Linked DNA regions of Ovis aries. The protein of the gene in region 1 interacts with the protein of each later gene in a pairwise test. Links are inferred from orthologs where the notes say so. Each region holds a gene or a part of one and is shown on either strand. Other genes may lie near its edges.

What was found. The genes of interacting proteins can lie anywhere in the genome.
Region 2: the proteins of QRICH1 (region 1) and NFIX interact in binary tests that used the Homo sapiens proteins (3 or more experiments, as listed by UniProt). The two-hybrid records come from large-scale screens. The link is inferred for Ovis aries from reciprocal best matches to the Homo sapiens genes QRICH1 and NFIX.

The regions. Positions count from the first base shown.
Region 1 is NC_056072.1:50,995,420-51,001,691, forward strand, and holds part of QRICH1 (transcriptional regulator QRICH1), read left to right. Parts: intron 1-2,602; coding exon 2,603-2,780; intron 2,781-3,339; coding exon 3,340-3,494; intron 3,495-4,640; coding exon 4,641-4,755; intron 4,756-6,272. UniProt on the Homo sapiens protein: Transcriptional regulator that acts as a mediator of the integrated stress response (ISR) through transcriptional control of protein homeostasis under conditions of ER stress.
Region 2 is NC_056058.1:10,803,844-10,810,115, forward strand, and holds part of NFIX (nuclear factor 1 X-type), read right to left. Parts: intron 2,837-6,272; coding exon 2,774-2,836; intron 2,421-2,773; coding exon 2,346-2,420; intron 1,966-2,345; coding exon 1,845-1,965; intron 766-1,844; coding exon 629-765; intron 1-628.

The sequences.
Region 1 (6,272 bases):
CTCTTGTCAAGGTCATTGTTCACCTACCTCCCCATGGCCAGATCCAGCAGGCATATCTGTTTTTATCTCACTCACAGCAACACACAGCAGAGCAAACCAAGCCTGCCTTCTTGAAACTCTCCTCTGGACTTCTCTGATATTTCCTCCTACCCTACTGGTTATTTGTCCTTCTCAGGAGACTTTGCTGAAGCCTCCATCTCTGTCTGAACCATACATGTTGGTGTTACTCAGAGCTCAATACTAATGCTCTTTTCTCCCCCAGGGGATTTCTGTCCATTGCCATGATTTTCAGAATCCTCTAGATGACTGCTGCAGAAGGTGATAATCACTGACACCTTCTGCCAGTCACTGTCCATAGTGTTACATGTAATACTCTTTTAATTCTCACACCAACCTTAAGAGGTATGTACTACTGTCTCCATTTTACAAATGAAGAAACTGAGGTACAGAGATTAAAGTCACCTTTTAGCAAGTGACAGAGTTGACATTCAGCCTTGGATAGGTGGGCCCCTAAGCCCATGTGTTAACCTGTGTGCAGTCCATGTACTGCAGTGACGCACAGCTCTGTATCACTAGACTGTACCTTTCCCCTTCAGACCCTTACTATACGTTCAGCAGCCCACTTATTATTTACTTGCATTTGTTAAAGATATCTCAGCTCTTCATCAGCATCTCCTCTACCACTATGAAAAACTATTCATCTCAGAAAATGATACCGTCATCTACCTAGTTATGTAAGCCAGAGACCCAGAGTCCTTGAGTCTGCGTTCCCTTCCTCCTCACAATGAGTTCATCAACAAGCCATGTTGGTTCTGCCACCATATCAGAATCTCTTAAATCGTTTGACTGCCACCATCCTGGTCTTGGCCACCAGCACCTACTTCCACTATTCCATTTTCTATAGATCAAGAATAATATTCTTAAAATGTAGGATTATATCACTTCCCAGCTCTTTAAGGGCTCCATTGTAAATAGGAAAAACTCTACACCAGGGGTGTGCTTGCATCAGTAGTTTTTAACCTGGATGAAACTTCTATTTCCCTTACCCACTGATAGACATTTGAATGTGTGTGGAAGAATTTTGGTTGTCAAGGTGGTTGGGAGTGTTACATTTAGTGAGTGGGGGCACACTGAAGAGAATCTGGCTGCTAAGACAGAGAAGCACTGCTCTCGTCTGCTAATCCTGTCGACTCCTAGCTTTCCTACTTGGGTAGGTAGTGTTGCCATTGAACAACAGGGAGGAAAGTCTGAGGAGAATACTTCTGGGTGGGCAAAGCGATGAATTCTCTCCCTAGATAGTAGTTTGAGGTGGTTTTGAGATATTCAGTCAGAGATACACAGTACCCATTGAGTGTATTAAGGCGTGATCTAGCTTAGAGGCACATAGTTAGCAACCGTTTCCACAAACATGGAGATCCTAATGGCAGGTGTTGGAGACTCACCAAGAAGAATGGTGGTTGAACTGAGAAGTGTGTCTGGAGGGGAGCTCCAGGGTTGACAGACGTTTAAGAGTCTGGCACTGGTATTTGGTTGTCTCCTTGTTTAATAGTGTATCTTGTATCAAAGCTAGTTGGATAGTTTTTATTTTTATTGATTGATAAGCAAATGTATGTGTCATATATTCATTGTTTAGCCTCCAAGTTGAATGATTTGGCATTTGTCAGCCCTTTAGGTAGGCCCTGGAATAGAAAATTGTTCTAGGGAATTTGTTTTACAATTTAGACCGGTTTGTGAGACCCAAGAACCTGTGCTTTGTATCTGTGTTGGTGTCTGTCCTGCCTAATGGGGACTGTGATTGAGGGTCATGGACATTCTCTGTCCTTTTGTCTGCACAGTTCAGCTCTCAGACCATGGAGAATGGGACTGCTCTTTGGAGGTGGGAAGCTCAGACATTGCTTCCTGTCTTCAGAAAATGTCCTTATGAGCCAAAGCAGTATTATTAAGAAGAAACATGATGATTCTCAGCCATGACTGGACATTAGAATAACCAAGAGAGCTTTTAAAAGTACTGACTGCAGGCCGCCAGCTTAGACCAAGTAAATCAGGGCCCCTAGGGACAAGGCCCAGACATGGATATTTTTTAAAAGCAGCCCAGATGATTTTAAGGTGCAACCAAGTTTAACAGTCTGGACTCTTGGTACAGAAAGTGTAGTCTGAAGACCAGCTCCCTTCCTTGGGGGTTTCTTAGCAATGCAGAATCTCAGGTCCCATCTGAGATCTTTCTAATCGGAATCCACGTTTTAATAAAATTTATTTGCACATTGTAGTTGATGAGCAGTGCTTTTTGCCAGTAGCTCTGGGCAGTGACTAAACATTAGAATTGCCTTTTTACATGGGAAGATTTTAAAAAGACTGATACCTCTTTAAAAAGAGATTCTGGGGTGGAGCTCAGGTATTGGTGTTTTAAAATAAGAGAGTCAAAAGTACAGTTAAGATTAAGAAGCTTTGTACTAGCGTTTGCTGTCTCTGAAGTAAAGAACAGGACTCCAAAGTTTAGGAGAGCAAGCAGAAGAGCAGCTTTTTAGTTAAAAGAGTTATAGCATTTTTCTGGCTGTTTTGTCAAACGACCTATTGACACGTTTTGATGATTTCTCTCTCATAGGCTCAAACTGTCCAGGTTGCTGAAGTTGAACCCCAGTCACAGCCACAGCCTTCACCAGAACTTCTGCTTCCAAATTCTCTGAAGCCAGAAGAAGGGCTTGAAGTGTGGAAAAACTGGGCACAGACCAAGAATGCTGAGCTTGAGAAGGATGCTCAGAACAGACTGGCACCCATTGGGAGTAAGTGTTCTGGAGGGCAGGGGGGTTGGACTGTGTGTGAAATGCAGTGGCACTGAAGCAGCAGGAGCACGGATGGCAGGAAAGTGTATCTCTTGGCTCTGGGCATGTGGGCGCTCCATCTGAAATAGTGTGCTGGATCCAAGACAAGAGGCAGGCTGGACCTGCTATAAACGAGCAGGATTTGTGGGGTGTGCCCAAGATCAGAGACTTCTGGGAGGAGATAGGAGCTGGTGAGTGTTCTTAGGGCGCCTCTTACTTAGCATTATCCTCATATACTTCCTCGTATTACAGAGGGTGGGTTTTGTGTTTTTGCTTTCATTTCGTGGCCCTAATAATTGGGGGATATGTGAGATGGGACGGGAACCCTTTTAGTAACAGGGCAAACAGGATTATTGTCTTTGTAGGTTAGTTTTGATCACAGATTCAAGTGATTGTTTTCACCCCAGCGCCTTGATGGGTGGTGGTGTCTGCTCTGTAACCTCCTTCCAGGGATATGAGAAACCAGTAAGGAAATGACTGTTGCCAGGACCCTCACTGACCTTTGGGACTTATGTTGTAGGGCGTCAGTTGCTACGATTCCAGGAAGATCTCATCTCCTCTGCTGTGGCTGAGTTGAATTATGGGCTCTGTCTGATGACACGGGAAGCTCGAAATGGAGAAGGTGACCCCTATGACCCAGATGTGCTGTACTACATTTTCCTGTGTATTCAAAAGGTAGGGAACCGAGCTGCGTAGGAACCTGTTTGCCTTGTGTTCCCATTGGGTATTTGCTGCGTAGTCAAATTAGTAATATGTCAAAAGTGGTAACAGTAAAGATACTCTCTTCCAACTATATAATGAGGTTTTAAATGTACATTTTTTAAAAGTTGGAAATGTTTTTAAATGTACATTTTATTTTTAAATTGGAAAAGATCTACATGTTCACTTTAGAAAATCAGATAATAAAATAATCCCTCAATCTAGAGAAATGTTTGTTAAAATATATGATATATTACATTAGAGACTTTTTAAAAAAAATTATGAAACATTTATGTAACACTTTTTGTTAAAGTAAACATCTAGTTTTCAGAAAAGCAATTTTTCCAGAACAGTCTGGTGCTGACATATAGTTCATTTTCTCATTGTTTCCTGCATTAATGCAAAATAATTATTTGAAAGAGTCTAGCTAAAATATACAACTGTAGTTAGGTTTTCAGGATATCTAAGATGAAGATGAACAGGGAGATTCATTTTAGGACCAGCAGTTTCAGAGACCAGATGGGGATTTCCTGGTGTTTGAATGCTATTGTAGAGAAGCCCGTGGTGTGATGGAAGAACACTTGCTGACTGGGACTCACCCTGTTGCTTGGGCCCGAGAAAAACCCATCTCCCATTTTGTTAGTCTGTTTTAGCAGTCACTGGGAGCACTGGGTGAATTAGTGTATGTGCTTTGTCTCATTCCATGCTCTCTCACTCATGCAAGGCAGGCATAGTCATCTCCAGTTACACACAAGGACACTGAGCCCCCAAAGTTACAAGACTCAAATGAGTTACATAACTTACACCGTAGCTGGTAAGAGACTGGCCCTGGAGCCTGCATCATGCTTTTTTGCTACCATAAGACAGTGCCTTGCTTGGGTGAAGTAGCATTCATGAAATCTGCTCCATTGGCCAACTCTCAAGAGTGTTGTGAGAGTTAGTTCCCATCCTGAAGTATGCTGTGGAAGTGCCGCGCACTGGGCGGTTTTGACTCAGTGTGCTGGTTGGTTAATGGGGGACGAACGGGTAGGGAGATGTGAGGGTACTGCTCGTAATTGTTTGCTTCCCTCAGCATCTTGTCAAGAGTCTACCAACAGCTTTTATTGATTATTTTCCTTTTAGTATCTTTTTGAGAACGGACGGGTTGATGACATTTTCTCCGATCTTTATTATGTTCGATTCACGGAGTGGCTGCATGAAGTTCTGAAGGACGTTCAGCCCCGAGTCACTCCACTTGGTAAGAATCTTCCTAGTCCTTGGATGTCTTTTGAACCTGGGTTTAAAAAAGATAAGCTGCTTGTGTGGCTTGCTGTGATAATAGCATGTGGGTGAGGAGGCTGTAAATCGCAGGCCCCAGCGTCGGTCTCTGTGCTGCTTGGCTCAGTATGGAGGGGCATGGCTCACCAGAGCTGTTTATTATAATTTTTTAAAATAATATATTCTTTAAGAGCAGTTTTAGGTTTACAGGAAAACTAAGTGGAATATACAAGGAATTCCATGTATTCCATCACACTGTGTCTCCCCTGTTATTAGTATCTTGTATTAGTGTAGTATATTTGTTAACATCGAGGAGCCAGTATTTGATACCTTGTTGTTAACTTAAGTCTGTAGTTTACATTAGAGTTCTGTTGTATATTTTGTGGCTTTTGACAGTGTATAATATGTACCTACAATTCAGTATCACATACAAGTTTTGCTGCCCTCAGATCCCCAGGGTTCCACTTAATTCGTCCCTCCCTTTATCCCCCTGAATCTCTGGCAACCTCTGATCTGTTTTACTGTCTCCATAGTTTTGCCTTATTCAGAATGTCATATAGTTAGAATACTTTAGTATTAATTTCTTTCACTTAGCAATATACGTTTAATGTTCCTGCATGTCTTTTCATGGCTTGATAGCTCATTTCTTTTTATTGCTGAGTAGTAGTCCATTTTATGAATGTGCCACAGTTTGTTTATCTGTTCACCAATTAAAGGACATTTTGGTTGCTTCCATGTTTTGGCAGTTTATAAATAAAGCAGCTGTAAACACTGTGTGCAGGTCTTTGGTGAAAGAACAGACAGATCCATGGGACAGAGTATAGAGTCCAGAAGTAAAGCCCCATGAGTGTAATGAATTTATCTTTGACTAAGGGGCAAAGGCAGTTAAATGGAGAAAGGATAGTCCTTTTTTCTTTTTCTCTGTTTTTTGGCTTTACTCTGCGGCTCATGGGATCTTAGTTCCCTGACCAGGGATTCAACCCGGGCCATGTAGTGAAAGTGTCGAGTCCTAACCACTGAACCTCCAGGAAATTCCCAGGATGGTCTTTTCAAGTAACACTGCTGGAACAGCTGGACAACCACACATTGAAAAAAAAAAAAAAAGAATCATAGACCCAAATGTAAAACTATAAAACTCCTAGAAGGTAAAATAGAAACTCTAGGTGACGTTAGGTCTGGTGGTAACTTTCTAGGTACAACATAAAAAGAATAATGTATGAAAGGAAAAAAATTGGTAAGTTGGACTTTATTAAAAATTAAAAAGCAAAAACTTATGCTCTCTGAAAGGCATTATTAAGAGAATGAAAGACAAGCCACAAACTGGGAGGAAATCTTGACAAAACACATACCAGACAAAGGGCTGATATCCAAAATTTATAAAGAACTTTTAACAGTCAACAATAACAAAGAAAGAACCTTTACCTGTTTTTTAATCTGAACACATGATTCACCAAAGAAGGTGGCAGATAAGTATATGAAAAGATATATATCATCAGT
Region 2 (6,272 bases), on another chromosome or scaffold:
TTCTGCTCACTCGCTACTAGGCTCTGCTCCTCTCTGTGAAGCTGGGCCCCTCCTTAGACCAGCGGTTCTCAACTCAGGAAGATTCTGCCCCCACCAGGACACAGCCATGTCCGGAGACCTTCCTGGCCATCATACCTAGTGAGGAGGTTTGCTACTGGCATCTAGTGGGCAGAGGCCAGGGCTGCCACTCCAATACCCCACAGGGTGCAAAACGGCCCCACCGCAGACAATGCTGTGGCCCTGGAATGTTCTAGAACGCCCAGTCTGAGAAACTGCCTTAAACCATGAAGACGGTAGAGGGGGGGTAACCTCCCTGAAGAAACACCAAGAGGAGGAGGAAGATGAGCAGGCTCTGAAGAGGAAGCCATGCCCCACTTGCAGGGCACCAGAGGCTCAGGGCCGGGGCTTTCCTTCTGCCACACCGGTGGGCCCTACTGCCCACGCGTGACAACCTGCCCGCTCGCCTCTGCTCTCCAGGCCTGTGCCCTCTGGAAGAGCGGGCTGGGGGAGGACAGGCAGTGCCACCGGCAGCAGGAAGCGCCACGGGAGGCTTGCCAGGGAAACTGAGGGGGAGACGAGGCTGCACGCCGCCTGCACTCCAGGTTGGGCCTTGCGGCGGCGCCCATACCTGCATCCACATCGTTGGGCCAACCACTGGACTGGCTGCTGCCAGCTGCCGGGGAGCGGCCTGTGCCAGGATAGAAGACGTCGTCGACAGGGCTCTCCATCTCACTGTCATCGATGGACTTGGGGCGCTTGGTGGTGCTGGGGAAGGAGGAGAGGGGTCAGGTGGGCCTCAGGTGAGTGGCTGGACTGGGACCCGGACCCGGGAAGCCTGCACTGATGGCCCTCCGTGTGGCGAGCGGGCTCTCGCTGTCAGCAGCATCTCAGGGCACTCGCTGTGTGCCCTCTGCCCAGGTCAGACTGAGAGCCCCTTCTCAGCCCACAAGACCATCCACTGTCATCTACCCAGCTACTCAAGCCCAAGAAGCAGGCCAAGCCCTCAGCTGCCTCCTCAGCCACCTTCTACTTCCCATCAGCTGCCACGGCCAGAGGTGAGTGAGGCGCTGGCCAGCGGCAAAACACCAGGGGCTGACGGGAAACTCAGTCATTGTGATACTATGTTATTTTATATTAAAATTTGATTAACTATGGAAATATCACAACATTTTAATGTAATATTCTAACATATCAAAACGAATACTTGAACCTCACAATGAACCAAAATGCTTTTTTTTTTTTTAAAAGGACAGGATCACACTCTGTCCTGCATGACTGAGCCTGACCGGGGTCCACTGTGCCTACCTCCCAAATGGCTCTCAACTCCACTCCTTCCTCTTAGGCCGATCCCCCACCTGGCTCAGGCCCTCCTACCCTCCAGCCTGGTGGGAGAGCCTCGAACTGACTGTCCTGCCCACGAACACTGCTTCTAGAAGTCTTTCTAGAACACATGTCCCCAACATCTGTTCCTTGACCCCTCTGGCCTGTGAAGCCCACTGTGGGATAGTCCTGCTGGCCTGCCCAGCCTCAGTTGGGATGGAGGCTGCTCTCTCTGCCTGGAGCACCCACCCCAGGCCTGTACCAGCCCCTCTTTGTCTGGGTTCAAAGGTCACACCCCCAGGAGAGAGGCCTTCCCCAGTCCCCACAGGGAGCACCTTCCTGGCAGAGCCATGGCCTGGCTTGAGCTTGTGTCCCTGAGGCCAGCGCAAAGCTCAGGGGGTGGGCAGCAGAGCAGGCCCTGGCTCTGGAGCCAGCGCCCTCCACAGAGGATGGTGTGCTGAAGTATGCTGCCCAGAGCACCTGAGGCGTCTCGGGGCTGAGGGAGGCCGGGGCGTGGGACTCACCTGGTGGAGGGAGGGGAGGTGATGGACCGCCGCCCCAGGGTCACCTGGTTGATATTGTAGTAGCTGGGACTCTCCAGGTCTGCCAGCGAGAAGTTGGGCCCTGATGCTGTTGCAACAGGAGCTGGGAAGAAGGGAGAGTGGGATGAGGTCTGGAAAGCATGGGTGCCTGTTTCGTTGCTGGGAGCAGCTCCCCGGAAGCCCTGGGGTGAGTTCACTGTGAAGGCTGCTGAGGAAACCTCCTCCTGGCTGAAGCTTGTTGGGAAGATTCCTTGGTTATGATTTTTTTTTTCCTCCATAGCAGTGGAGGTCAGAGGTGGGGCTCTCCAATGCCTCCATCCCACCCAGCCCGGTGCCAATGAGGCCAAGCATGTCCCAGGAAGTCTGCCTGCCTCCCCCCCGACCTGAGACCCCATCAGTGGGGGACTCCATGGGGTCCAAGTCCCACCTCCTCACCCTCATCCCTGCGGACCCAACCCTGGCCCAGAAGAAGGAAGGACTCACTCTGTGATACTCTCACCAGCTCCGTCACATTCCAGACCCCGGAAGTCACAAAACAGTCCTGGAAACTTAAGTGCCCTGAGGAGGGAAAAGGGCAGGTGAGCAAGTCGAGGCACAGCCAGGAGGGGCTGTCTGCCTGTCTCTCCCGATCCCTCCCCACCCTCAGCTTGTTCCATCCCATGACCCATGTCCCAGCTCCAGGCTGGCCCTCAGAGGCCCTTAGATCTCCATGGATGTGGGGTATGCCCCCATGAGTGCCCTCCCCTACGGAACAGCAGCCTCTGTTCAGTCAAGGGACAGCTGAGTGAAGCGGTTGGCAGGGGCAGGCCCACCCTGGCCCGGGAGGGCAGAGAAGGGTACAGGTTGGACGCTGTGGTGGACACAGCAGGCCAGGGAGGCTGGGTTCAGGCAGGAGGGCAGGGGGCACTGACCGTTGGGCAGTGGTTTGATGTCCGCATCTCCTTGCTGGTTTGAACTATCTGATTGTCCGGATTCTGCGGGAGACAGAAAGGGTAGGGATGGGTCAAGAAAGTGCCCCACGCTCACCAGGCAAGCAGCTGCCCCTCTAGCCCTATGGACACCTTCTCTCCCACTCCCTTCCTGAGCAGCCCAGGGAGGCCAGGAGAGAAAGAATGGCTGCTGCTGTGGTGAGGCCCTGCAGACTGCAGGGTGCTGGGCAGCATCTCTGGCCTTCTCCCACTAGATGCCAGCAGCACCCCAGTTGTGACAACCAAAAACCAGTCTCCAAACACCGCCTGAAGTGCCCTGGGGGTGAGCAGCCCATGAGTGAACAGCCCTGGCCAAGAGTCAGGGCAAGGAGGCGCCCGGGAGAGAAGCCCCCGACTGTCCCTTTGCACAGCTGGTTTGGACCCAAGGGGTCCCCCGTTCTCTACCCCACTCAAGCTCCAGAGGGAGCAGCCCTTTCCCTCCCTTCATTAATTAGAGCCAATGCTGCCTGCCTGCGCCACCCCCACCTCACCTTTATGCATACAGGCAGTGCCTGGCAACTCGGAGGGGGGAGATCTGCCTTGATGCTGTCGCCCGCTCTGTGCCAGCCTGTCTGGGCTGTCTCATGCCCCAGTGCCACAGCTGCTCGGAGGGAGCCCTGAGACAAGGGCCCATTGTGCGGTGGGAGCTCACAGAGGACTGGGGGCAGGGTGGAGTGTGTGTGTGAATATTTTGCTGAGCTTGGGAAAGCCCCCCGCCCCTGCCCCCCAGGTCCTCGAAGCTTTGTGTGCCAGGGGCACAACGGGGACCTCCAGAATGCTTGCCTGGGCACGACAGCTGGCGAGAGGGTGGCGGAGGGGGGCCAGGGCAGGTTGTGGGGCAGGAGAAAGGCAGGCATTCAGTAAAGGATCAGCTGCTCATGGGGGGACCACATGGGGTGGCTTCGGAAAACTGGGCCGTGCCATTGGCCAGGGCTCCGCTCCACTCTTTGGAGTGACCCTGCCTCCTGGGTCTCACCCGCCACCCCACAACCGGCCCAGTCGCCACGGAGGCCATCCTCTACCAAACTTGCGGTCAGACCGCTCACATTGGGGAGTGAATAGCAAGGAGGTTCCTGAAGAGTGATGTGGGCCCAAGAAATAGAAGTGGGGGGATCCTGCAGCCACTTGGGAAAGAAGGAAGAGCTCCAGTTGTTGGGGCCTTCTCAGAGCTAAGGCCCAATGATGGCTCAGCCAAGCTCCCGGCCTCTTGCATCCATGTGGCCGGTGGGAAAAAGACAGGCTGCCCCCAGGATGGTTTCAGGCCCCATCTCCCCCATCCTTTATCTTGTTTCACTTTTTTTTTTTTAACGTATTTATTTGGCTGTGTTGGGTCTTGGTTGTGGAACGCGGAACCTTTGTTGCAGCATATGAAGTTAGTTTCCTGGCATCATAGTTCCCCTGGGATCTTAGTTCCCCATCTGGGGATCCAACCTGCACCCCCTGCACTGGAAGGCAGACTCAACCACTGGACCATCAGCGGAGTACCTTTTTAGCCAGCCTCTACTTTTTAAAAATTCCAAATGGTAATAATAATGAATCCTGTCACAAATCAAGAAAATGGAGGTTGACAAGCGAACAGGACCCCTCACCCCCTTGTGTTTGGGGCGTGTCCTTCCACACCTCCGTTTGCACCCACCCTAGCAACGCTTTTAGGGATGGCAAATTCCATCTCAGGCCACTTCTTTGTCGTGGTGGCACTCTGCTTTGGAGAGAGCCCGTGGGACTTCCTCCCACACCCTGGGGAAGGGCAGCCTCTCTCTGCATGTGGATTTTCTTGTTGCTCTCTCCTCAGCTCATTCCCAGCTCTCTGGGTCTGATTCAAGCCCTAGCTGGTCCAGGAGGGAGCAGGCAAGGGGTTGAGGCAGTAGGTGGCCCACCTTAGGGCCCCCGTGGACCAGTGCCCCAAGCCTAATGTCTCTCAGGGCTGTCCTTGCCCAGATTCACAGCCAGAAAGAGCACAGCTGCAGGACCGGCGTGTGGAGCCCAGCGAGGGGCACACGGTCAAGGCGTTGCTGCAAAGGCTTTGTCCTACTTGTCCCAGGACCAACTCAGTCCCCACAGAGCCCTCCAGGCCAGGGACAGTGGAGTAGAGGGGGATGGTAGGAGGCCATCCTATTAAGAGTGGTCTCAGCCCTTCAAACGTGGCCAGGTGGAGACAGAAAACCACGCGCATGCGCACACCCGGCCCGGGGACAGAAAGACGAGAGAACCTGACAAAGAGATGGAGGTGGGCCAGCGACAGAGGCAGAGACAAATGGGGCTCCAGGAGAGCGCGACAGACAGGAAATCCTTCTGAACCAGGACGCTGCCCTGAAACGTTACTGCTGTTATTACCATTAGCGCCATGTAAGGGAGCAGGCAGGAGCGGGGACCGGCGCGCGAGGCCCGCTGCCACGCGCCTGCAGGCGGTGCTCCGGGCGCTGCTGGCAGCCATCTTAGCCCTTGGCAGCCATCTTACGGCTGGCGGCCCCGCCGGCGCCCCGCACTGCCCCTGCCGCCCGCCCCCGGCGAGCGCGGCCCGGCTCCGGGACAAAAGGCAGGGACGCTGGAAGCCTGCGCCCGGGCTCGAGGGCAGGGGCGCCGGCCCGGCCAGCGGGGCAGCTGGGGCTGGGGCTCCACTGTCTTGCCCAGGCGGCGCCCCTGCCCCCTCCTGGCCCGTGCAGAGCAAAAAGGGCAGAGAGGCACGAGCCTGCTGCCGCCCGTGAGCTGCGCAGTGTGGCTGAGCGCCCCTCCTCAGGCCAGACCCAGACCCAGAGCCTCAGTTAGTTTACCGCCTAGACCCCTGCCCCAATGAGGTGACGCGGGCCTCAGAGGACAGTAAGGGGAGAGATGGGGCAGGCCCTCGATCACTCAGTCAGCTTGGAGGTGGGCACACGGCGAGAGGGGGCCACTGGGCCGCTGGTGGACAGGCTCCTGTGGAGGGCGAGGAGATGCCCCCCAACCCAGAGGCAAGAGCCCGCCAGGCCAGCTCCCTGAAGCCATGGGCACTCTGGGGAGCTGTGGCCTCGGGCTGGGGCCTGCTCTGGACAGGCCCTAGGGACCAGGAGCTCGACCCCAGGCTGGCACCCCAAGGAGCATGACACCCCGGTGCCTGACCCCCTTCCCTGTCGAGGCTCCCTGGGGAAGGGAGGGAGTAACCCCAGGCCTTGGGACAGAGAAGGCAGGCCCCTTTATGACACCCCTCCCCAGGCCCCGCCTCATGGTTGCTTGGCTTTTATCTCACAGAATGGGGCTTATCAGAGCCACCAGCTGAACAAACACACAAATCCACGGTTAGTGAGAGAAAACCCTCTGCCTGAACTCTTTATCTCCTGTTCACAGGCCCCGAGCACTGCCCCCTGCCAACAGCACAGGAGAAGCCCTGACTGCTGCGCCATGAGGGCGCCTCCCCTGGCCACCCCCCTTCTCCCCTCGCCCCAACCCAGCGCGTGGTGGCTGTCCC